Arabidopsis thaliana: one gene and its partners. The protein of the gene in region 1 interacts with the protein of each later gene in a pairwise test. Each region holds a gene or a part of one and is shown on either strand. Other genes may lie near its edges.

The links.
Region 2: the proteins of MHX (region 1) and ABCG20 interact in a protein complementation assay, tested with the Arabidopsis thaliana proteins (one large-scale study listed by BioGRID).
Region 3: the proteins of MHX (region 1) and CNGC13 interact in a protein complementation assay, tested with the Arabidopsis thaliana proteins (one large-scale study listed by BioGRID).
Region 4: the proteins of MHX (region 1) and AT5G19570 interact in a protein complementation assay, tested with the Arabidopsis thaliana proteins (one large-scale study listed by BioGRID).

What each region holds. Positions count from the first base shown.
Region 1 is NC_003071.7:19,522,917-19,529,421, forward strand, and holds MHX (magnesium/proton exchanger), read right to left. Parts: upstream 4,665-6,505; 5' UTR 4,396-4,664; intron 3,980-4,395; 5' UTR 3,913-3,979; coding exon 3,522-3,912; intron 3,436-3,521; coding exon 3,260-3,435; intron 3,169-3,259; coding exon 3,050-3,168; intron 2,959-3,049; coding exon 2,786-2,958; intron 2,638-2,785; coding exon 2,522-2,637; intron 2,404-2,521; coding exon 2,187-2,403; intron 2,100-2,186; coding exon 1,970-2,099; intron 1,900-1,969; coding exon 1,602-1,899; 3' UTR 1,201-1,601; downstream 1-1,200. Other genes in the region: PHR2 (photolyase/blue-light receptor 2), read left to right, coding at 238-479, 574-639, 735-816.
Region 2 is NC_003074.8:19,835,956-19,842,126, forward strand, and holds ABCG20 (ABC-2 type transporter family protein), read right to left. Parts: upstream 4,029-6,171; 5' UTR 3,567-4,028; coding exon 1,347-3,566; 3' UTR 1,193-1,346; downstream 1-1,192. Other genes in the region: RS2Z32 (RNA-binding (RRM/RBD/RNP motifs) family protein with retrovirus zinc finger-like domain-containing protein), read right to left, coding at 446-552; UXS1 (UDP-glucuronic acid decarboxylase 1), read left to right, coding at 5,680-6,171.
Region 3 is NC_003075.7:433,058-439,703, forward strand, and holds CNGC13 (cyclic nucleotide-gated channel 13), read right to left. Parts: upstream 4,535-6,646; 5' UTR 4,347-4,534; exon of another isoform or gene 4,215-4,346; 5' UTR 4,186-4,214; coding exon 4,157-4,185; intron 4,031-4,156; coding exon 3,508-4,030; intron 3,435-3,507; coding exon 2,923-3,434; intron 2,797-2,922; coding exon 2,685-2,796; intron 2,595-2,684; coding exon 2,358-2,594; intron 2,270-2,357; coding exon 1,875-2,269; intron 1,795-1,874; coding exon 1,512-1,794; 3' UTR 1,160-1,511; downstream 1-1,159. Other genes in the region: AT4G01000 (Ubiquitin-like superfamily protein), read right to left, coding at 48-670; AT4G01020 (helicase domain-containing protein / IBR domain-containing protein / zinc finger protein-like protein), read left to right, coding at 6,029-6,646. UniProt on the Arabidopsis thaliana protein: Putative cyclic nucleotide-gated ion channel.
Region 4 is NC_003076.8:6,604,374-6,608,347, reverse strand, and holds AT5G19570 (uncharacterized protein), read right to left. Parts: upstream 1,785-3,974; 5' UTR 1,610-1,784; coding exon 1,196-1,609; 3' UTR 1,027-1,195; downstream 1-1,026. Other genes in the region: AT5G19580 (glyoxal oxidase-related protein), read left to right, coding at 1-753; ROPGEF10 (ROP uanine nucleotide exchange factor 10), read right to left, coding at 2,218-2,622, 2,708-3,034, 3,119-3,391, 3,736-3,810, 3,913-3,974.

The DNA of each region.
Region 1 (6,505 bases):
AACTTGTGGGACTTATAATTCAAACTCTGCCAATTGGTTCCATTTCTATAGGAGAAGAGCTACTTACCCATAGAGTGATAGGGATAAGTACTATCAAGTGTTAATAGTAGTAGTGCTGTTTGAAGGTCCATGGATTCTTCTTAGGATCAATGAACGTTTCTCTTTAGGTCCAATATTCGTCTGCGGCTCTTACTGTCTTACACCTTCTCTTAGGAGTTAACATTTTGTTCTGCTCAGGAGGGGAAACCGACAATGGTTGGAGGAGAGACAGAGGCGTTGACTAGACTAAAGAGCTTTGCCGCGGATTGTCAGGCTCGGTTGAGCAAGGGAAACCAGAAAGGAGGCAACAACAGTGTCTTTGGTGCAAACTTCTCTTGCAAGATATCACCTTGGTTAGCCATGGGAAGCATCTCTCCTCGTTCCATGTTCGATGAGCTGAAGAAAACAATCTCCGCATCAACCACCTCCACAACTCCAAGGTAATGTCTCAGAAACGCAAAACACTTCAGGAAACTCTGGTGAACATAGTAAGTGTATGTGTCTAATTATCATTCTTTGAAATGATTTTCTCAGGAACGGACCGGGAGATACAGGACTCAACTGGTTAATGTATGAGTTGCTATGGAGGGATTTCTTCAGGTGAGCTCTTACTTTCTTAACTTGCCCCCTAGTAGAAATGTAGAATTTGTATTTTGTCTGATTCTCTCTTTGATGTGTGTTTAAACTTGGAACAGGTTTATAACCAAGAAATACAGCTCAGCGAAGACGCAGGTCGAGGCTGGTCCGGCTACAGCCTGTACCGGTGCCTTTGCTTAAACATTTGAAAACTTTCAGGTGACCGGAAAAGTTAGAAGCGACCTGTTTCTTTGCCCTACTCTGGTGTATGGTGGATTAATTTGCTATCCGGACAGGACTTTACTGCTCTCTTTTGAAACTTGAGTGTCAGGAGAATAAAATCTAAGCTTCTTTTTTTGGCTCAATCAAGTTGTCCGTTCCCTGTTCTAAACATTTCGGATACTCATTCCATAAAAAGTCTCTACAATTTGAGACGCTCTCCTTTGTGGTTAAGACTTGAGAATGTATCTTAGAAAATAACCGAAGTAGTTGTGTCTATGAATATTAAATTCAGGAATATTAAGATGTCACTAATATCAGAAGCAAGCAGCAACTAGAATATGCACTTCGTGGTAAATGGGCATTAGAAATTCTACAACACTTATTAAAGAACCGTACTAAACACTAGTTACTTGGATGAAAGTTACATATAAAAGTTTATATTAATCGACTAAGATTATTTGCTTGACTTTAGAGAAAGTTTGCATATATGTACCACAAATTGGTAACACTGCAAATAAAAAAACAAAAAAAACTGCAGGATAATGAAAATGTACTCCATATATGCACCTCCTAACTAGAGATGAAGCCTCCAAAATCATAGTCAATATGATTTATATTTGCAACACATATTTAGCCAACTGCCTTTGAACTTTGATAATTATATAAAACCCCCTTAACAAGTAAGAAAAACAAAAACTGAGACATGTGCAAGTAAGCTAAGACTTTTTCTTCTACTCATGGGGTTTTTCCTTTTGTTGCTTCTTCTATATGACGCCTGAAACTTTCAAAGAAGAAAGAACAACGAAGACGACCCAAAGCATCATGAAATAGGCAGAAGTAAGCCAAGCCCATAGCCTTGGACCTCCAAGCTCAGCTCCTATAATCAACCTTCTCAACACAAGCACCACGATACATCCCACTGATGTCGCAAAGAATATCAGAAGCGAAAAGCTTAATCCTTTAGCGTTTTCTATGTATAAAGGCTCTCTGTATGCAAAGTAGTTGTAGACTGTGTTTATCAGCCACGGAACTCCAATCCCCACATAGATGTTCACCGAGTTACTGCATAATTTATCACCAAAAAGATCATGAAAAGATCTTCAATGTTTGTAAAGGGTTTTGAGATTTTTACCTGCAGGTGATGTTTGCAATAGCTGAATCTGCGGTTAGTTGTCGCTCTGCAGCGATTTTACTTGCTACTAAGTCTGGCCATGAAGTTCCACTTGCGAGTGCTGTGAATGCTATCACATATGGGTTTATTCCTGCAAGATGAAAAGAGTTTCTAATGTTTTAGAGCTCAAATGTTTAATCTTATAACTTCAGTTTTTGAAAGCGGTGAGGGTGTGTACCAGTGACACAGCTTATAAGGTCAGTAAATCTTGTGACAACAAAGGCTACTCCACTGATGAAGAGGAGAGAGCAGATGAAAGCGATCCAACCGTGAGCAATGTTGCAGGGGGGCACAAATGCAAAAAGCAGTTTCCAAGGGGCGAGGAGTAAATGCCAGAAAGATTTCGCGATTCGAAGATAAATGCTATCCACTTTCTTTGATTCTGATGTTTCCAACTGTTTGATTACGAATAGGAAGAGAAACAAGTTAAGAAAGATGTGTTGATAATGATCAAAAGCCCAAAATAGGATATAGAAGAATCTAGAAAACACTTGGTAAGTTGAAGATTTTTACCGTTATTGCATCCACGAATTGATGTTTCCAAATGTCAAAAACAGTAGAATTCTTCGCCTTACCCTTCTTAGTCGCAGAATCGGGTGGAGTATCTGCCACAGTATGATAAGTGATCCCTGCAAAAGTGTTTGTTACAGGGAAAGTTTGATTTATAACAATATACTACCAGAGATAAATATGGGAATCACATAGATTTGGAAATAAGCAAATACGCTAAAACTGATCTTATATCAATAGAATAGACAGCCTAATCATACTTAGTACCTGTATCATTGTTAGCTGAATGAATAGAGAAGATATCAACAATGTTTCTGCTTCCCGATTCAACAGCATCTTGAGCAGCATCCGAATACACATCATGAACATCATTGTCATTGTCATCTTTGGATGTATCAATCTCCTCTGGAACCCACTCCTCTGGCCTATCACCTCTTGACCTGCAAGTATCAAATACAAACACAAAGATACAATCTTTAGTAGAAATCCATTTTGAAGGAACTAATATTATTGTCTGGAAAAGAAACCCACATTGGTAAAGACAAGTAAGGCCATCGCTTGTCTTGGGCGTACGCATGAACTAGAAGCAATCCGTATTGCAGTACTGTCAATAATGCCTCCACAAGTGTAATTACGTTTGGTGACCACACCTGTGAGACGTGAAAAGAAACAGATTTTTAGACCTTATCAGTATAGAGTATAGACTCAACAGAATCTGTTTAAACCGCTTTTCACAGTTACCTCGAGGATTATGTATAGCCAGATGTAAGCCCAAAAAGACCATACGAGCTCAACTAGCCAAACACCTAAGTCGGATATCTTTTTCAGTTCTCCAGCTTTTGGCACAACGACACAAACAGCGTGGATGGGGAAAAGATCAAATGCAGCTGAGCCAACAAGTGTTCCAGGACCAAGACCTATATGACAAAACATGATATAAGAATTCATGAACTTAAAAGTAAAAACTAGAGTTTTGGAAGGAAGAAAGGAACAACCACCAGACCTCCAGCATACCGCTCCCCCATATTCCGTATTGCATCGATGGTAGCCAAAGAAATCTGAGGGAAGCTAGTTCCAAACGCCAACAAACTGATGTCTGCAATAGTAAAGTTCCAAACTTTCTTGTATGTGATGACTTCAGCTTTAGTAATGGGATCAATTGTAACCACTTTACGGGAATGTTTCACGACATTCTCCATAGACTTGAAGAACCGTGCAGTGATGGCTGACAACCCAATAAAGCAGTAGGCAAGACCGAGAAAATATAACACACCCCTCAAACCATCTGACAAAGTGTTTTCTCCGGGGAATAGAAAGAAGTTTTCACATCTTAAATGCCCAAGAACCTTAGAAGATTCTTGCAACTCCTGGGTTTGATTAAGAATTGAGGCCATTGTAACTTATTCAAACCCCACCTCCTAATAAGTCAACTGAACACTTGTCCTCACTGGGGAAAAGAATCTGGCACACCAAAAAGAAGCTTACAACTTTTAGAAGAAACTGATGAAACCTGTAGCCTGATCGATCGAACAGTATCAAGAGGATGCGAAACAAACGGAACATGCAAAAAGATTTCTTTCCAGAGAATCTGTAACACAAACTAAACATTGCAAAGGATCCAATGGCATGTAACCGAAATCCAATCTATAACCAATGCTAATAACAATTGCATGTTCCACTGTATGCGTAATCAAAATCCAGAGGTAACCAGATCAAAAGATTATAACTTTCATCATGGGTTCAGTAAAACAAGTTGGGTTCTTTTCACAAAACCATAATTTTCAACGAACAAATCTCAACAAAAATAGCTAAAAAATAAGAAAAGAACAGATGAAACAGAGTGAGCCACGCGACGAAATTGATCAATGCGGACGTACCGGAGAATATCTCGGTGAGCGGCATTCACAATACGCCGATCACGGGAGAGATTTTCCGACAAACGGAAATCGAGAGGAGCTGATTGGAATCGGTCAAGCGTTGGATATTGCGGTGGAGACTTGGGAGCCATTTATACACATCTCTCTAATCTCTGCATGACACACTTCAATTATTGTATCGAAACGAGGATTCAAGCGTACATCGACCGACACGTGATCTTATCTAATTGGATGATTTACTTGACTAACTAGGATTAATTAATCTCGCCTTTCTTTGGTAAGGTTTAAGAATATGAGACCTCAATTGCAAGTTTTTTTTATATCTTTTTACTCCCTGAATTTTGTTTCATTTCATCCTTATAAGCATTAGATTTTAATTTCAACCTGAGTAATATTAGTTTTATCATCTCCTCGAGTTTAGATATTATCATAAACATATATCTTACTAAAAACCTGACCTGACTAATTTATTTTCTTTATAAAAGATAAACATGATAAATATGAAGTGTGAACGCATTATCAAATCAGAATTAGTGGATATATATGTATTTTGTTTTTTTCTGATTAAAAAAATTATTGAGATATATACAATTGAACTATGAGGACAAAAAATATATATATATATATATATCTTATTATATAAAGTATGGTTTTCAAAATTGACTTGGCACAGTGTCAAGTCAAACGATTAGATGTTTACATGTGTCATTCAAAATTTAACTTTTTTATTCTTTAAAAAAATAGAAAATCTTAAAAAGTAAACAAATTTACATATACTAATTTATATGTCTATATATTTATAAACAATTAACATTTATTCAACAAAAGCAAAATTAACAAATTTGTCTTTAACTCATGTAATCATAAGTGAAAATAGAACACTTTGAGAAAAATAGCTTAGCTTATAGGATTTAACTTTTCAATTATTTTCATTTATTAATTTTAACTCATTTAATATTAATTTGCATGATGTAAAATTAACTTACGAGATTACGTGGGTGATTGGTTTGTCTGTAACTGTAGATTTACTGCTGTAGAATTTTTGTTGTAGGTGTGATGACTGTAGCTGTAAGTTTTATTGCTGTAGAAATTAGACTGTAGGTTTTATTAATATAATTATTACTTAAAGAAATTGGGTAGAAATAAGATTTTGGTTGTATGTATTTTTAAACAAAAAAATATTATCGGGTCGGGTTCGGTTTGGGTTCGGGTTCGGGTTCGAGTTATTTATATATTGAAATATCAAATTTTGTGTGCAAATCTATTAAATTACTTGAAATTTTCAAAAATTCCCAAAACAACATGAGTAGTTTTGCTTGAATATATCTAAAAATACACAAAAATAACTAAAATATCCAAAAAAATTCTAATATTTTCTATATATAAGTATAAATATAACTAATATATACTTATATTTGAGATATGTTTGCATACCTATTCGGGTTTGGGTTTGAGTTTTTCGGGTTTTAAAGTTTATATCCGTTCGAGTATTTGAAAATTTCGGGTACACCCGCCTAAATAGGCGGACCTTATCTAGTATATATATACATTTGAACTATATTGTTTACTTTTTAGTTGATTTAGGCTATGTATGACATTGACATAAATCTACCTGTTATTTATCACGTGTAATTCGTGTAAAGTGTAAACTAGAAAGTTCAAATACGTATTTGTTTTTGTTCTGTTATATAGGATTGTCATAGTTGTAAATCTACAATTTATTACAACATGAATAAGTACACAAGCAATGTAATTGGATTTAATTGCTAAACTCTTTACATGGTCAATCTAAATTTGATAAGAAATACGTCACATATTACTAAGACTGATAGTTTTTTTGTTGTCACCAATTATTTTTGTTAAATTGACGAAAACAATTCCAAAAACTCAAATGTACAAAATCATACAGTCTCACAAACATCTCATAGAGAAAGATATAAATCTCCCATATGGGAACGATAACACGAGGTCGAAATACTATTCGTAAAACTAAAACGCCTTAGTTATAAATCGTTAGTTGTAACCGCGGTCGAGAATACATACAGATCCACGAAACTACTACTACACATGCTGCTGAATTGGAATTTGGAAAAGACCATCTTCTTTAGGA
Region 2 (6,171 bases), on another chromosome or scaffold:
GGAACTTCCAAACACCAGTTTTTGAGATTTGAGGCCATTTCCAATAAAAACATGCAATAAATCAACAAACAAAATCGCCGATGCACCCTCTATACACCAGACGAGAATTTCCACCAATTACACCACAGTCCACCCATTCATCAAACATCTCCAGGTTAGGCAAACCCCCAGAAACCTTCAACAAGATCATTCAAGTTAAAGAAAAAAAAATCCACTAAACCTAGCTCCACAATTTTCCCACATGTACCAATGCAACGTTATAAGTAAAAACTACCCTCTTTGATTCTAATGTTAAACTTTAGGTATATATCCCCTGCACAACATCAAAGAGGAATCATTCCAGATTCACACCAAAGAACAATTAACAAAAAATCCAAACACTTATCTCCCCAAGAATACAAAAGTCAAATTAGGTCAGTCAAGACAAAGGAATATGACTCTTTACCTTCCGTATCTGCTAAAGAGACGCTCAAGGTCTCTGGTACGAGTTCTAGATGATAAGCGACCAACATAGAGGCGAGTGTTTCCATAGCGATCATCATAGCGAGGCATTGTCAAGCTGCAAAATATTTTTAACATAAGCTATTAGGCACATATGTATATATATATATATATATGCCAATCACAAGAAAAAGAATAACAGTATCCTCTTCAAATTATATAAACAAGAAAAAGACCAGAGAGTTAAAACACTACCTCAGACCTAAACATAGAACCCATGTGAATATCTATGATTTTTCAGCAGAACACAAATCCAAAAACAAAGAAACCAAACTGAATAACACATTCAGAGGCGAAAAGAAGAAAATTTCGTGAGGGGAGAATATAAATCTCTAATCAGATTAGACAGAAGGAAACCTATAAAGGAAATCTACGGCGAGGAAACGAGAAACCAATTGAAATCCCTAATCTAGAGAGCGAAGAACAATAAAATCGTAACCCTAAACAGATCCAATTACAAAGATTCTTCCTCGTACCTGGAGAGACGAAGAAGGAGAGTGCAAATACGCAGTAACCCTAATAATTTCGAAACGAAGGAAGTGAACCGCGGATGATACTGCGATTAGTCTTCAACCCCTATCTTATAACTTGGAAACCGACGAGATTCAACGGTAGCGATTTGTTTCAATCAACGGTTTAGATTTCACGGCGAGATAAACGTCGATATTACCGATATAGAAAATAGAAAATTGCACACTTTCCAATTTAGTACTTTTATTGGGCCTTATATCAACTCTAAAGCCCATTAAAGATTTAGCAAACATATGCAATTTCGTATTAATCATAAGTATTAAGTACATCATAATCATTGGTCAAGTTACTCTAATAATTTTCTGTTTTGTAAATCAGCGACGCTTGTTCTTGCTTCCGATCAAGAGTGTGAAGTAGAAGAGAACCCTAAAGAAGAATCCCCAAGCTACAGTGATCCACAAGCAATTCCATTTGCTTATCTCCGTGATTCCTTGCTGTTTCAGTATATCGATTCCCGTCGTTACGCAAGTCTCCGCCGTCACGTTGATCCCCAAAACGCCGCTCATGCTCTTCAGGAGGCTGATTTTCACGGCGGTTGGAACTTGTCCCAGCGGCGAATTGTCGAACATCTGGATCCCTCTGACGAAGCATTTCGTCGGATCTTCGAATTCGTTCTGTAGAACACCTTCGTAAGGGTATTTCACTAGGGAGAGGTAATGGAACCAGATCCAGTAGAGTGGGATTCGATCTCTAGAGATGAAGAATCCGGAGAAGAGGAGGAAATAAGCGAGGATTGCTACAACCACCGTGAATCCGATCATCACGTGTGAGACTACGCCGGATAAGAACGTCACGAAGGAACTTCCGGCCCAAAACGCGGTGAGGATTGTGAAGAAGAAGAAGAGGAATCCCTCGGAGCCTCCGGCGAGTCCTACGGCCGAGAATGTTGAGGCGGCGAATGCGGCGGATAAGATTATGAGAGCAGGGATGGAGATTATTGTGTGAGCGAGGACGTATGATGATCGCCGGTAAGCGTTGTAAGCTGTTTCTCTCATGAATATGTAACGTTCCTGTAGAAAGACTGGTATTGCTTCTGCACATGTGTAGAATGTTGTGGACATTGCGAATGCGAAGAACCCTAAGCGTTCTTGTATACCTCTTGGTGAATTGTCTAGTTTCCAGAATATTGTGGCTAGGATCATTCCGGTGACTAGTACAGCTCCTAGGCGGATTCCGAATAGCTCTGGTTGTCTTCTTGAGTTTAGTATAGATCGTTTACCAATTACGAGCATTTCAGTCCAGAATGGGTTTGCAAAGGTTTGAAATGATGATCTTAGGTTTGTTGCTCCGGAGACAAGCTTACCTCTCGAGATACTTGCGCTGATTGCATCTTTGAGAGATACATTGGTGTTTCTTCTGCTCTGGCTTGAGGTTTGCTTTGCTCGCCATTGCTTGTGGAACTCGACTAAGGATTTCGTTCCTTCTGGCGAATCTTCCAGCTCACGGATAAGATCGAGTGCAAACTCCGGCTTGTTCTCGTTTTCAGGAATTGGGTGACCGAATTCTGAGAAGAACTGAGGGAGGTGTGTCGGGGAGCCGCTGTAAACGGTGTTTCCCCTAGATAGGAAGATTAACTTATCGAGTAATCCCAAGATTCTGTAACTCGGCTGATGGATGGACATGATAACTATGCTGCCGCTTTGTGCGATTCTCTGAAGCACTTTGACAACCATGTATGCACTGGTAGAGTCAAGACCAGAAGTTGGCTCATCGAGAAAGAGAATAATCGGGTCATGGATTATATCGGTTCCAATTGAGACCCTTCTCCTTTCTCCTCCAGACACACCTCTGTGTCCCTCATCACCGATCACGGTTTTTGCTGCGTTCCTCAGGCCGAGCTGATCAATCAGAGCTTGAACCCGTGCCTTCTTTTTCTTCTTAGAAAGCGAGCTTGGAAGCCTGAACTCAGCAGAAAACATCAACGTCTCTTCCACGGTGAGCATCGGGAAGAGAAGATCATCTTGCATCACATAAGCTGATATGACTTTATGCAGGCTAGATTCAAGAACTTCCCCATTTAAAGTAATATCACCGCGTAGGCTCTCTTTTGAAATCCGATTGGCTAATGCATCGATAAGCGTTGATTTCCCTGACCCGCTCGCTCCAAGAACAGCCATCATCTCTCCTTCCCGGGCTTCACCAGAAATACCATTCAGGAGCACCTTAGTATTCATCTCCATATCATTACCATCAAAAGGTGAATTCCCACAACAAGGAAAGGGCTTAAACTTCTTCTTGATCTTCACGCTGTAAGTCAAGTCTTTGAAGGAAAGAACAAACGGAGAAGAAGAAGGCACACGAGAAGACGGAACCGAGGACCAGAAATTGGACGCAACCGCAATATCCATAGCCCGACTCTGGTCATCCCCCTCATCTTCCACACTCATGAGAAGTTCTGCAAGTGTGACAGACACCCGCGCAGTGTCTCTGTGACATCTCTGAAGCTCCACTGACTTGTGGATATTGTAAAACAGAGGGAGGCCATCGCCATTGACCCGTTTGGCCGGAGATAATATACCGAACAAACCAGACATCACGTGAATTATTGTCTGGTTAATGTTTTGGCCTCAGGTAATGTGTCTAAAGGTCTTACCCACAGAACAATTTTGATCGACTTTATAGGATATTTGGATGGGAGAATGAGGGAGAAACTTGTCAATTAGTTTGGTGATCTCTAAGTATCTAACTTTGAGTTGTTCTGGGTTTTGTAGCTTTTCATATTTACATGTACATAGCTTTTGTTTATATTTTCGTATGTATATAAATTGTAAGTTACGAGTAGGTGAGGAGTTGGGCAAATCCATCCACATTTTTCCGTTATTGTATGTATTTTTTCTTGGGGCTTAAGGTACTCTGTAAAAAAATCCTATTTTAGGTGGTTTTTGTTTACAAAGTGGAAAAGTTTACTCCATGGAATTACGTGTTTATTTCATCTGTATATAATGTATCCGGAGTTTATGGAATTGCAATAAGTATAGCTTATGTAACATGTCAGGAATAGAATTTCTCCTTGCACATGTATGTATGTCACGAATTTCTTAATCTCCTTTTGTTTATTATAGTCACGACCCGCGAGTTTTCTATAATCACTTACAAGCTCTAAGACTTGTTTTTTGGTGCGTGAGACAATAATTGACTAGGGGTTAATTGGATTTCCAACTATTTTGAATCAGTGAATATCTTCGTACAGTAACTAAAGCACGCTACGAATATACTGTTTGTTGTATCAAAATCAAATCATCCAACATTTTGAACATTTATTTAGCGGTTACTAATTAACTTTTGCAATTAGTTAATATCAAACACATAAGATATTCTCATAATTAGGATTTGGCATGGTACTATACTAAGATTGTACAAAGGCATGCCATTATGCATAATGAAGCTAATGGCGTGTTATCTTTCAATTGTTTGTTTAATCATGCACACCATTTTCGTCATATAAAAAAGCGTAAGTGAAGCCTATTTCATTTCAAAAAAAAAAAAAAAAAATTATAAGGATCATTGATTTGTACTTTTGTAGTTGGTGAAACAAAAAGGAAATGAATGTGAAAATTATGGCAGAAAAACGTGCAGATGTTCGGCTTTGATGTTGTAGAGCTACACACGAAAACACAACAAAAATTGTCATTAGGAATATGTAATGGAAACTTTATATAACGTGATGAGTTAGATTTAGGCATATGGAAGTTTGGTGTAGCTGTTATATCTGTTTTCTTGATTATTTTACTTTTGATAACCCATTTTTACAAGAGTTGTCAAGAAATAATAGAAAACTATATACTTAGTATCATCAGCTTGTCTCTATCAAGTTGAACTAATGATTTATCCAATGAAATACATAACATTTCTTATGGAATGTACACTTTCACACAGAGAATGAGTTTATATTATTCTGGTTAAGTTTAGTAAGACTTTCTTTATGTAAAGATTGTTTTGAAATTTTGTGTTTGGTAGAGGATATTTTGCTAAGTTTCCCAACATAATTTTGTTAACACTTTGAGATTTATCAGGTAGGACTAGATCAAGGAATTGAATCCCTCAGGTTTGAGATTTCGTTCAATGCTAATATTTGTTAAATCGTACGAGAAATTTTTACTCTCGTCTGTTGAGTAACAGCATGAGAGAGTTTTCATTCAAAAAAAAAAAAAATAGCATAAGAGCATATCTCTAGGCATAACATTTTGTGGGCTATTAAGGGGCCAAACTTGGGCATCCAATTGTTAAAAGCCCATATTTTGTAAGCCTCGAGGAGTTTTTTTTGTTTGTTTCCACATTTGCCTAAAGTTTTGTATATGTTCATTGAATAATATACAAATCAAACGCAAATCACATTAATGATCCCCTCAAGAATATATATATAAAAAATTGCATATATTATTAAACAATTAGTGAAATTACTTAATTAGATTATCTGATAATCACATATAGATTTTAGAAGCGAAACATATATATTTGCTCTATAACTAAAACAAAATAAAAATAAAAAAGAGAGCGAAGGATTGCATCAAGTAATCGCCGTGTAACTAACTACTTTTGCATTCACCATCGCTCTTACGTTTGAATCTATCCAGATCCAAAGCTCTTCTTCTTCCCGGCAATTCTGAGATCTCATTTTCACCGGCGACGAGCTTTAATCGGAGAACGATGAAGCAGCTTCACAAGCAAATGAGCTCGAAGCGTGATGAAGAAACCATTCCCATGAGCCAATCCAGTCCTTACTCTCCCAAAACTTTAAAGCATCCCAGATCTCTTCCCAGATCGCTTCACTATCTCTTTCGTGAACAACGACTCCTCTTTATCCTCGTCGGGATCTTGATCGGATCCACTTTCTTCATCCTCCAGCCTTCTCTCTCTCGTTTAGGCGCCGCTGAGTCCACCTCGTTAATCACCAGATCTGTTTCCTACGCCGTCACCGATTCCCCGCCTTCCAGGTCGACTTTTAATTCCGGAGGCGGCGGAGGTAGAACCGGTCGTGTTCCCGTCGGTATCGGACGGAAGAGACTGAGGATTGTTGTCACCGGTGGAGCTGGTTTCGTCGGTAGTCATCTTGTTGATAAGCTTATCGGTAGGGGAGATGAAGTGATCGTGATTGATAACTTCTTCACTGGTAGGAAGGAGAATTTGGTTCATCTATTC
Region 3 (6,646 bases), on another chromosome or scaffold:
AAAAAAATAACAACTTTAACAATCAATCAAGTAAAGAGAATTCATACCATATTTTGAGACGCTTCTTCTTCTCAGATTCAGCACCAATCTTCGCTTTTCTCTTCCCATTCTTGAAAGATTCATTCAAAGCCAAATCAACAGCCAAAATACACTTATCAGATTCTTCCTTATACTTATTAACATACTTCTGCGTAGCTCCATTTCCAACACCTTGTTTCACTTTATTGGATTGCTTCTTCAGATACTCAAGAGCCTTTTTCTCAAGGTTCCTCCCTTCTTCACCATCCTTCCACTCCTGAAGCCTATTCTCTGCGTTTACATGCCTCAATCTCCGTCCACTCATATCCCTACAAGCATCGAAGTTGTTCGTCTTCTTCTGCCCAGCTTTCATACCCCCACCACGAAGTAACGATCCGAATCCTCCTTTACCTCCACGGAGTGAAAGGACAAGATTCACGGTGGCGTCAGGCTGAGAAATCGCGGATCCATCGGAGATTTGGTATCCTCCGCTTATCAATCTCTGTAGATGCGTCGGGATCTTCGTTTGCTCGAAGATCCGCTGCTTGATCTGCTCGCCATAAGCTAACGGAGAGGAGAAACTTAGGGTTAATGATTTTCCGTCGAGTAGTCTCACGAAAAACTGCAACGGCTTAGAACTCTGATCCGCCATCGATTTTCGATTCAAAAGCTTGGACGAAGAAGAAGAAGTTCGATTTCTAGAGAGGAATCAGAGAGAAATTGGGGAAATTTGACGGAGCCCTAATAATAAGTCTCTCTCTCTCTCGCTGCTTGTTGGGCTAAGATTATTATCTTATCCACACTTTTGGGTTTATGACTGGGCTTTATATTGTCTGAATCTATGTCGGTCAGGAGAAATCGATTTTTTTTGTACAATTTGACCAAACTAATATCTATATATGATATGGTAAATGATGTATTATTAAGTAAAAATTATCTACAATTGAATCTTATAATAAATATATATATATGGAAAAATTACTCTTAGATAAAATAACATGATAAATTGTATGTTATTGGTTAAACATGTTATTTGTTTTTTTTTGGTCAAAACACACACATGAAAAAACAATTTTTAAATAAATTTGTTATATTTACTCCAAAGCTTTTAAAACTAAAAAAAAAATTAAGGTTACCTAAAGTTATCAAATTCATATATATAACCATGTTTTATTTTTATAAAGGTATCTTCAATAGTGATCTCTATATTTTCCTTTATTTATAGATATGACTCTATTTTAGAGGCTGCTCCAATGGTCACATGTAAAATAGAATTTTCTTTAAAATAGAGGAGATATCATCTCTATAAATAAAGATCTCTACATTTAGTCTCTATTTTTTTCCTATTTTTGAGGAAACTCTATTTTAAAAGTGACCATTGGAGCATCGTGCCTATAAAATAGGGTCACTAAATTTTTGTAATTAGTTTAAGCTTTAATGTCGTTGACACAATATTATATACAAGTGGTAAGTGGACATGTGTAAGAGATATTTTAAGGGTTTCGGAGACTGAAATCAGGCTCGGAGGGTTTAGGAGGTAGCAAAGGTAGGTTGTTTGTACGCAGATTGCGAAGCGCGTTTGAAGCAAACCGCGACGCGTATAACGTTGCAACCAGGCTAGACGAAGACGCCGCATTGCGTTCGCGTTTTGTGATCGCGTTTCGGAATCGATCTTCTTCTTCGGTTAATGATCTAGCTAGTTTCCTCCGGCAATGTCTCCGCCACGCCGCTTGTATGAAAGACGCACCCCAAGTTCTCCATTGAACCGAATAAAACCTGACAGTTAAACCGAATTAAACCAAACAGAACCGGAGATTGGAGAAGCAGAGAGATCAGTCAAAAGAGACCAAACAAACCTGAAAGTATGTTGAAGCTGTTTGCTATGTAGTCGTCTGAACTGTGAAGCAACAAGCTTGAGATCATCTGCTGCAAGAGCAAAGGCTTCTACTTCGGTTAAAGCTTGAACTGTTCTAGTCGATATCGGAAAATGAGACGAAGATTGAGGATCTAATGCCCATGTGAGAAGATCTTCGCCGCAAAAGTCACTAGGTTTTAGGTATACGGCGTTAAAGAAGCCGGTCCGGCCACCGTTTGTGGTGGCGCTCATCAGTTTTCCTCTCATGACAAACAACATCTCTTCCACTGGATCTCCTTCTCGAATTGCATAGCTGTTCTCGGTGTAGAGCACTGGTTTTAGCTTGTCACACACGGCATCTAGCAATTGCTCATCCATTATCTCGAACAGAGGTACCTATATATATTTGATTCGATCAATGATTATTTGAATGAAATGTCAAATTTGAGGATCAAAGAGATAAGGTGGAACTAGAAGCACTTACTTTCTTGAGAAGATCGAGGCAGAAATGGCGTTTGATGTCTCTCCTGAGGTCTTTAGGGAGATTACGCAGAAGGTTTTCTTCTTCTACTCCTCTAGTTTCCTGCCATTTGTACTGCTCATACCTTCTGATACGTTTCCTCAAGTCATCGGGTAACATTCGATGAGACATCCATTGCTCTGCATCTCTTTTTCTCACTCTCATCTCCTCTTCCCTCACTGTAGTTGATTCCAAGTATTTCTGTTATGGAAAGTGGAAACATCAGTAGTGTTTTATCTTCCTTGGGGATCAAGTAAGTGATGGAAAAAAGGCAGTGAAATGAATATATACCTGCATATTGCCGATAAGTAGTGCGAATAAGACTAGTCCAGATATACAAATTGATACAGCAAATATGATTTCCCCAACGAATTTGCTTGTATTGAGATTTTGTCCCAATGCACTGCAGCGAGTGAGAAACAGCAAGTGATCAGATTAGTGTTTCATGCTCAACATATCTTAGCCAGCCATCAAGTGTGTCACATGAATCCTAAATTACTAATAACTAGATAGAGAGAGTGTTACAAACCTTAAATTACGCAAACCCCACCAGAAGCAGTAGAAGAACTTCTTCCAGAAATCATCTGATTCAACAATCCCACTCTTTAAAGCATCAGTAAAGATACCAAAGTTGAAGACAGTTGAATTTGTTATATCATCAGGGTTGATAAACGGGCACGAGGTAGTCAGGAAATCGTTTCTAACACTACTGTTTCCATCGCAGTAGAGAAATCTAAAGTTACACACTTCTGGTATCTTCTCACAAGCTTCACGCCAGCATCTGTCTTCTCGTTCTACTGATATTAAGTACCATAAGGCTCCAAACACATGACTGGCTAACATATAGAGAGATAGGTTCCAAGCAGCTCCAGCCCAAGCGGTTTCAGTAACTATGCCAGATGTTCTTGTAACTTCAGTGTAAAGTGGATAGATACGAAGAATCCTTGGAATGTATTGAGTAAATATGACAGTTATCAAATAGTCCTTAGTGATCAAAGAGACCGGCTTGTTGACATTGGGGATGACAGCTAAGACTACAAGCTGCAGCAGATACAACAGAATATTAAAGAACCATCAAGAAGGAACTATAAAACCATTAGGAACTAAAGGTTACCTGTGGGAGTGGAAGGATAGAAAGAAGATCGATGATGAAGTAGGAGGAGAGGTACTTGATGGCTATAGCTTTAGGATCATCAACCAACTCGCCTCTTCCGAAAACACGAGAAGAAGGAGAGATATAAGCAGTTCTAAACTGAAACACAATGTGAATGATGTAGAAAGCATCTATAAACGTGCGAAGCACACTAGCTGCTATCTCCAAGTTACGATGCAAATTAAGACAGTGTCTTTCTCCATCAACAATAGGAATATAGAAAAACAATGGATCAATAGCCAAAGCAATCACTGAAGCAAAAAGAAAGATTTTGTTCCAGTTCTGTAAAAAAGATCCTTGTGGGTTTATAATATTCTTCTGTGTAGTGGTACTAGAATTAGAATCTCTCTTCTTATTATGTGAACCAAAACTTAAAGGTTTCTTAAGTCCTCTACGAACATTCTTCAAAACTGTGTTTAGAGATGGTCTAGCTTTATTTCTTCCGTAACCATACTCTGTTCCCTCTGAAATCCAATCTCTGAACCTAAACAAAAAATCATCAACAAAAAAGAATATTTTTTCTGAGAATCATTCATATCCATAGTTTCTCAGTAAATTCATTCTAAAAAAAAAAAAAGACAGAGATTAAAGAAAGCAAGCAAACAACAACCTTACACGATTGTTGCGGCCAAAAGCCATGAGTCAAGCTTTTTTTGCTATAACGGATCCTGAATCATAAGAACATCGATTTGATCGCTTTAATTCGTTATCCCCAAGTTTACAGTAACAGAAAAAAAAAAAAAAGAAGAAGAAGAAGAAACGGAAACTAAGAAATTAAAACATTTATATCCGAAACTGACCAGAACGTTGAAGTAACTGAGAGAAGCGATATAAGAAAGATTATAGTAAGAATTTTCCGATGATCTGAAATTGGGAAAATTCTCGAAATTAATTCTCTGAAGTTTTTTTTTGAAGCAGTCAAATAAGCTATCATCGTAGAGTCAAGCTTGGCATGGCGCTGGAAAATGGAGACTCCATTGGCAGTTTCTTCGAAATTGTGTGCATTTTACAATAAAAGACAAAAGAGAGGGAATTATTAAAGAGTCAAAAACATTTGATGGGCCTAACCTTAATTAAAAGCCCAATTCGATATTGAATTTGATTTTAAAATTCAGAACTTGTTATATATCAGACCAACACAGTAAACATCATAGATTCCAGTAATGCATCAGCTATAAACAGATCCTAGCAGTGTGAAATAGTAAATATGCTACGATTTAAAGGTTTGGATCCAAAGAATTTTACCAACTTCATAGCAGATTGTTCACACTCTACACTCAATAAGCCAAATGTAAACAAAAAGATGACCAAAGATCTTCACAAATCTACCATGAATCACAAAATCTATGAAGACAATGTGATTTAAAGCAAAGATCTTACAGTTTTTATGGGCTCTTAGTTAAATTTTGAGATAGTAAATTTTCATATAGGCCCAACCGCCCAAGTGAGCAATCTTGCAGGACTTTTGTGTTGTTTATGGCTTTTGTCTTGTCTGACTCATGAAATCTTGTTTTTTTTTGTAGATAAAAGAACGATAAATGACGCTTTTAAAACTTTTTAAAGACGAGAGTTCTAATAAAATTAGGAAATAATAATATATGATGTTGACAAAAAATGTAGAAAAATATATGAAATTTTTATTGGCACGAAAAATTTGTAGCGAACCGCATCATATCATCACTTATATAAGCAATATTTTTTGAAAATAACTCATTTGAATATCATTAATTAAGCAGATGAGAAAAAATGATATGAGGTTATTGAAATTTTTAACCAAATTGTTTTTTATATAAAACATGTAACACTTTCTGTTTGTTTTTTCTTTTATATAATTTTGTTAACACCTTTCTATATTTTCTGCTTTCAATATTTTCTATTTTCTTTTATTTTGAAATAGTATTTTTTTTTGTAGGGATTTGAAAATAGTTTTTTTTTTGTAGGGATTTTAAAATAGTTTTTGAAACTACTAACTAATTATTAATAAAATTCAATGCTTTGAATAAAATCTAAATGGTATACAAATATTAAACTTTACAAGAATATGAGTTAACTATTTAATACCTTTAAGATTTCATATTTACTTTTGATGATATGTACATTTTAATACGTATATGGCAATATCATTGGTAGATACACTATTTCTAACTTAAATTTTAAAATGTGGTAAAAACATAAAATTGAAATACTAAGAAATGTTACTTTAACACTTTTATCCTCAAATTTGGATTTCTGGATGTTTCTATAGGTCGAACCAATAATTAAAGAATTGATAGTAACAAAATGGGTTTTAATATTGATTAGAAGAAAATTAAATTAGGTTAAAGAAAAAGGAAAGAGTAGACGAAAAGTTAAATAAATTTTAATAGGGTTTTAATATTGATTGATATAACTCTCTGACTCTTCTGTGACTCTTTTCAACTTCTGACTCTTTCTCTTTCGCTCTCTCATTCTTAACAAGAAAAAAAACTGGCATCATCTCATCATGAGGAACTCTTTTCCTCCTTCAGACGGTGGGAGATCGACGACTGATCGTCGTCAGCAGTCGTTTCCCTCATCCTCAACGAACCGTTATAACTCTCGCTCTGCACAATCTTCTCCGCCGCTCAACCACTGTACTACTTGGAACCAGCAACACTCTCAGTACCATAACACTAATTTCCCGCCAAATTACAGACGTGATCGTGCTCCGTCGTCGGGATTCTCTCCTCCAGTCACGCGGGCTAGGCCTAATTTCATCGTTCAGCTGCTTCACCCCGCCGCCGCTAACAGTGACACAAAGCTGTCTAAGAAGCAAGAGATCGAGAGTATCGCTTTGCTTTGCGAAATTCCGGAGGAATCAGTTCACGTGCCTCAATTTGGTTGTATCGCTGCAAGCTTCAGTTTTCGTCAGTGGGTCGATGCGCGTTCTGCCGTTGTGGCTCTTTGGGATTATCGTCTTCAAGGGAGACATGATTTTGTTCCTGAGCTGATTCCTAATGTTGTTGTTCCGTCTGACATGGACGAGCTTAAAGACAGGCTTCGTGATCTTTTCTCGTCTCATGTTCTTTCGCTTATGGAAAATGGACAAGGGGTCAAGAAGGTGAGAATGGAGATTGATGAC
Region 4 (3,974 bases), on another chromosome or scaffold:
AAAAAAATATACGAACCAGCACTACAAGACTGCGCCAGGATAAGGATCAACAGCGCAAAGCCACGATGGAAGACGGAGATGATGCCAACCCCACGAATCATGAGTGATACTGTCATCCTCCCTAACGGAGACATCCTTCTAGTCAACGGAGCTAAACGTGGTTGTTCAGGCTGGGGATATGGTAAAGACCCTGCCTTTGCTCCCCTCTTGTACAAGCCCCATGCTGCACGTGGCAAGCGTTTCAGACAGCTCAAGCCCACCACCATCCCACGTATGTACCACTCCAGCGCCATCATTCTTCCAGACGGTAAGGTTCTTGTCGGTGGCAGCAACACCAACGACGGTTACAAGTACAACGTTGAGTTCCCAACGGAGCTTCGCGTTGAGAAATTCTCCCCACCTTACCTCGACCCGGCTCTAGCCAACATAAGGCCAAAGATCGTCACCACCGGCACCCCAAAACAGGTCAAATACGGACAATTCTTCAACGTGAAGGTCGACCTTAAAGAAAAGGGAGCAACCAAGGGAAATCTCAAGGTTACCATGTTAGCCCCTGCCTTCACAACACACAGTATCTCAATGAACATGAGGATGCTCATCTTGGGTGTCAATAATGTCAAACCTGCTGGTGCCGGTTACGATATCCAGGCCGTTGCACCACCAAATGGAAACATCGCTCCACCGGGTTACTATCTTATCTTTGCCATCTACAAAGGTGTTCCCAGCACTGGAGAATGGATTCAGGTCGTCTAATGACGATAATTTTTACCCATTTTGTCTTATGACCGTAACATCTTAATATAAAACAATCACATAATATCAGTTTTTTTTTCCTTCTATATATATTGTTTATGCCACCATTAATGGATCCAAATTACTTGTGTTTTCTTTCACTTCTATAAACTTTTCCGTTCATGTAAACCTTTTCGGTGAGTTTTTATGACTAAATTTTGTATTGGAGAAATTCTTTTATTATTACTTTTGGCTCTATTCTTTCTTCACTAGTTCGGTTTTGCGTATAAATCATTCGATGCGTTCATTGCAAGTCACTGTTTGTTTCATTGACTAGTAATGTTAATTACCTTCGATAATATTGCAGAGAGTTAGCTAAAATTCTCAAAAGATGGTACACAAATAGTTCTTTCGCAAAATAGATCTCACAGAAACAGAGTCACGGTTTTACAAAATTCGAATTTCACAGAACACAAAGCCAAATTCCAAATACAATAAAGCTCGTACCTAACAAAGCAAGTCCGATTTGAGTTTCTTCCCCTAAAAGGATCCCAAAAGCGGCGGTTGCGGCAAAGGTTGTGGCGTTAGTCACCGGAACGGCAAGAGAGATGGGAGCGTGACTGAGAAGGGCGAAGAATGTGGCGGAGGCGGAGAGGTTTATGAGGAAAGGAATTGAGTATTGCCAGAAGAGGAGGAGATTGATCCAGTCGCGGAGAGCAATCATGATTTTGCGGCGGATCTGAAGAGGAGGAGAATGAGATTCTGTTGTCGAAGAAGACTTTGTTTTATCCCAGGCAAGAGCGCCACGACGGATCAGAGCATTGGTGGCTCCCCATACGAGCCCTACCGCCACCATCTTATCCATGTCTTCCTTCATCGCCGGTGGCTGATCCCGATTTGCCTTTTCCGTTGTTCTGTGTTTTAACCACTAAATGTTGAGTAAAGGAGATCAAAAAGAAGAATTATTTGGATATCCAGAACCGACCCGAACCCGAAAGGTACCGAACTAAACCCGATCCGAAAAATTTAAAAATCCAAATAACGGACCCGAATACCTGAATAGTCCGGATGGTAAACACAGATCAATGGTATTATCACAAACCACTAAATTACATGTCGTCATCAAATAATGTTTCATTACAATACTACTACACTACTAGTCATTATCAATGAGCTTCAAAATCCATTAGGAAACAATGTTGTAGATTAGACGTTACAATACAAAACACCAAAGAACAAAAATACCAAAATATTGTTACACACTGAATCACACTTCCTTCTTAGAAAAAACAACAGGAAGCAATAGTCAAAACAAGCAACAATCATGATCAAACACCAAGTCTCATGTCCAAATCCTAAAACCAATGCCTGCATTGTTATATATGTACATTCTCACACACTTTAACCTTCTTCTATTCTCTCTCTCTCACTCTCTTTGTGTTTTTCTTCTTCTATGCCCTGTTCTATTACCTTCTCTTTTCACTATCAGTGTCTGTCACTAGGGCTTCTCATGTTCTCTAACTTTGCTAGATATGAAAATTTCTTCGGTAGAGCTCTTGGAGACTTCATCATGGGCTTCTCCTTCTCCTGCTCAACTTTGTGGAAGAATTCTATATCACTCATTGAACTATGCTTCTTAGTATCAGATGACAATCTCCACCCTATGAAGTCTGATAGTTTCCTCGAGTTTGGTGTTTCCGCTGCAACCACCTTTTCAGTTTCCTCGTATTCTGATTCTGCCTCGCTTTCTGATCTTGTCTCTGCCTCTCCCATCAACTGTCTTTGAACTAGCCGATCGGCTTCAAGAACATCCTCTATTCTTGACATTATCTTTGAAGCAAGACTCTCTAGTACCCTTGAATAGCTCTCCAAAATCGCCTGTCCAACATCCTGTAAGATCAAATCACAACAAACTCTTACTCAGTCTCACTACATTTTTGTTGATGTTTGTTTAGTCTTTGTTATGTTATGTTACCTTGTTGTTTTTAATCTTGGAGACTTCAAGGGAGGATTGTGGGATCCCAGGAAATTGTTGTTTGAGCATAACCAAAATGGTCTCAGCTCGGACTTCGAAAAGCTCCCTCTTCTCTAAGCTAACAGTGGATCCCCACTGAGATTTCCCGTCTTTCTCTTTCTGGCACATCTTCCTCTTCCAGATCACCATGGAAGCTTCAATCCTGTTCTTTAGATCAAGTACTTTGTGTTCCGTTGACAAATCCAAGAAAGAGACAAAGTAGTCAGGATCAAAGCTCTCCTCTGTTATGCTCTTGTAAAGAAAATCTCCCAAGCTTGTCTTCCCATTCTACATAACCAACAGCCTCATCAGCTTCCTAGCTTAGTGGAAATTGTAAAGAAACAGAACACTTTTGAAGAAGAAGTAAGTAACCTTTGGAAGGGAATCAATGTAGTTTTCAGGAACGTGCATTTCAGACAATACATGAGCATTGATGGCCGTGGCGGCTTTAAGGACTTGAGCCACAGAATCTTTCTGATTCTGCAACCATCTACGTGATTCCTCAGACAAGCCATCTGTTGGAACCTTAACAACTGGTAACCACCAGTTCTCATCCCTCCTCCAATCTCCATTGTGATCTGCATCCTCCATATCTCTTGGCACATACCAAAAGTCTTTCTGATCCTTGAAGTTGTCCAAAGTTTCCTGCCAAATGAGTAATTGCATTAGTATGATAAATGGTCACAACTCATCTATTTTTGTTTGTTATATATATATATCATGATCATTTTATAATACATGCACTCCTATATGAAATTAATTAATGAGATGGTACTCTTGGTGTTATGACGTTTTCAGTTATATTTATCTTTATAATTTGCAAAGATGACTATGACTTGTAGTATATATAGTAGTTTGTCCTAGTGTCATGGATATTGTTGCAAACAAAATATTTTTGAAACGATGTGGTGTTTGATATAATATAATGGTTTAATTTTTCCCAAACGTTGAAACCGCGGTTGAAACAATCAAGTAGTAATTAAACTCACGAGAAGAACCGAGTCAAGTTTGCGTAAAGCTGGAATGTTCGTCAGCAAATCATCTCTTTGTTTTGTAACCATGATCTACAAAGGAGAAAATTAGGGTTAATAAGAAAAATCGTCACTAGTAGACTAGTAGTTGTTATATATGTACGTAATTAATGACTAACAGTTGCATGCATTCACCTCAGTGAATTGGCCATTTTTACCCATTTGTCTAGAAGGAACAAACTGGACAATGTGATCAA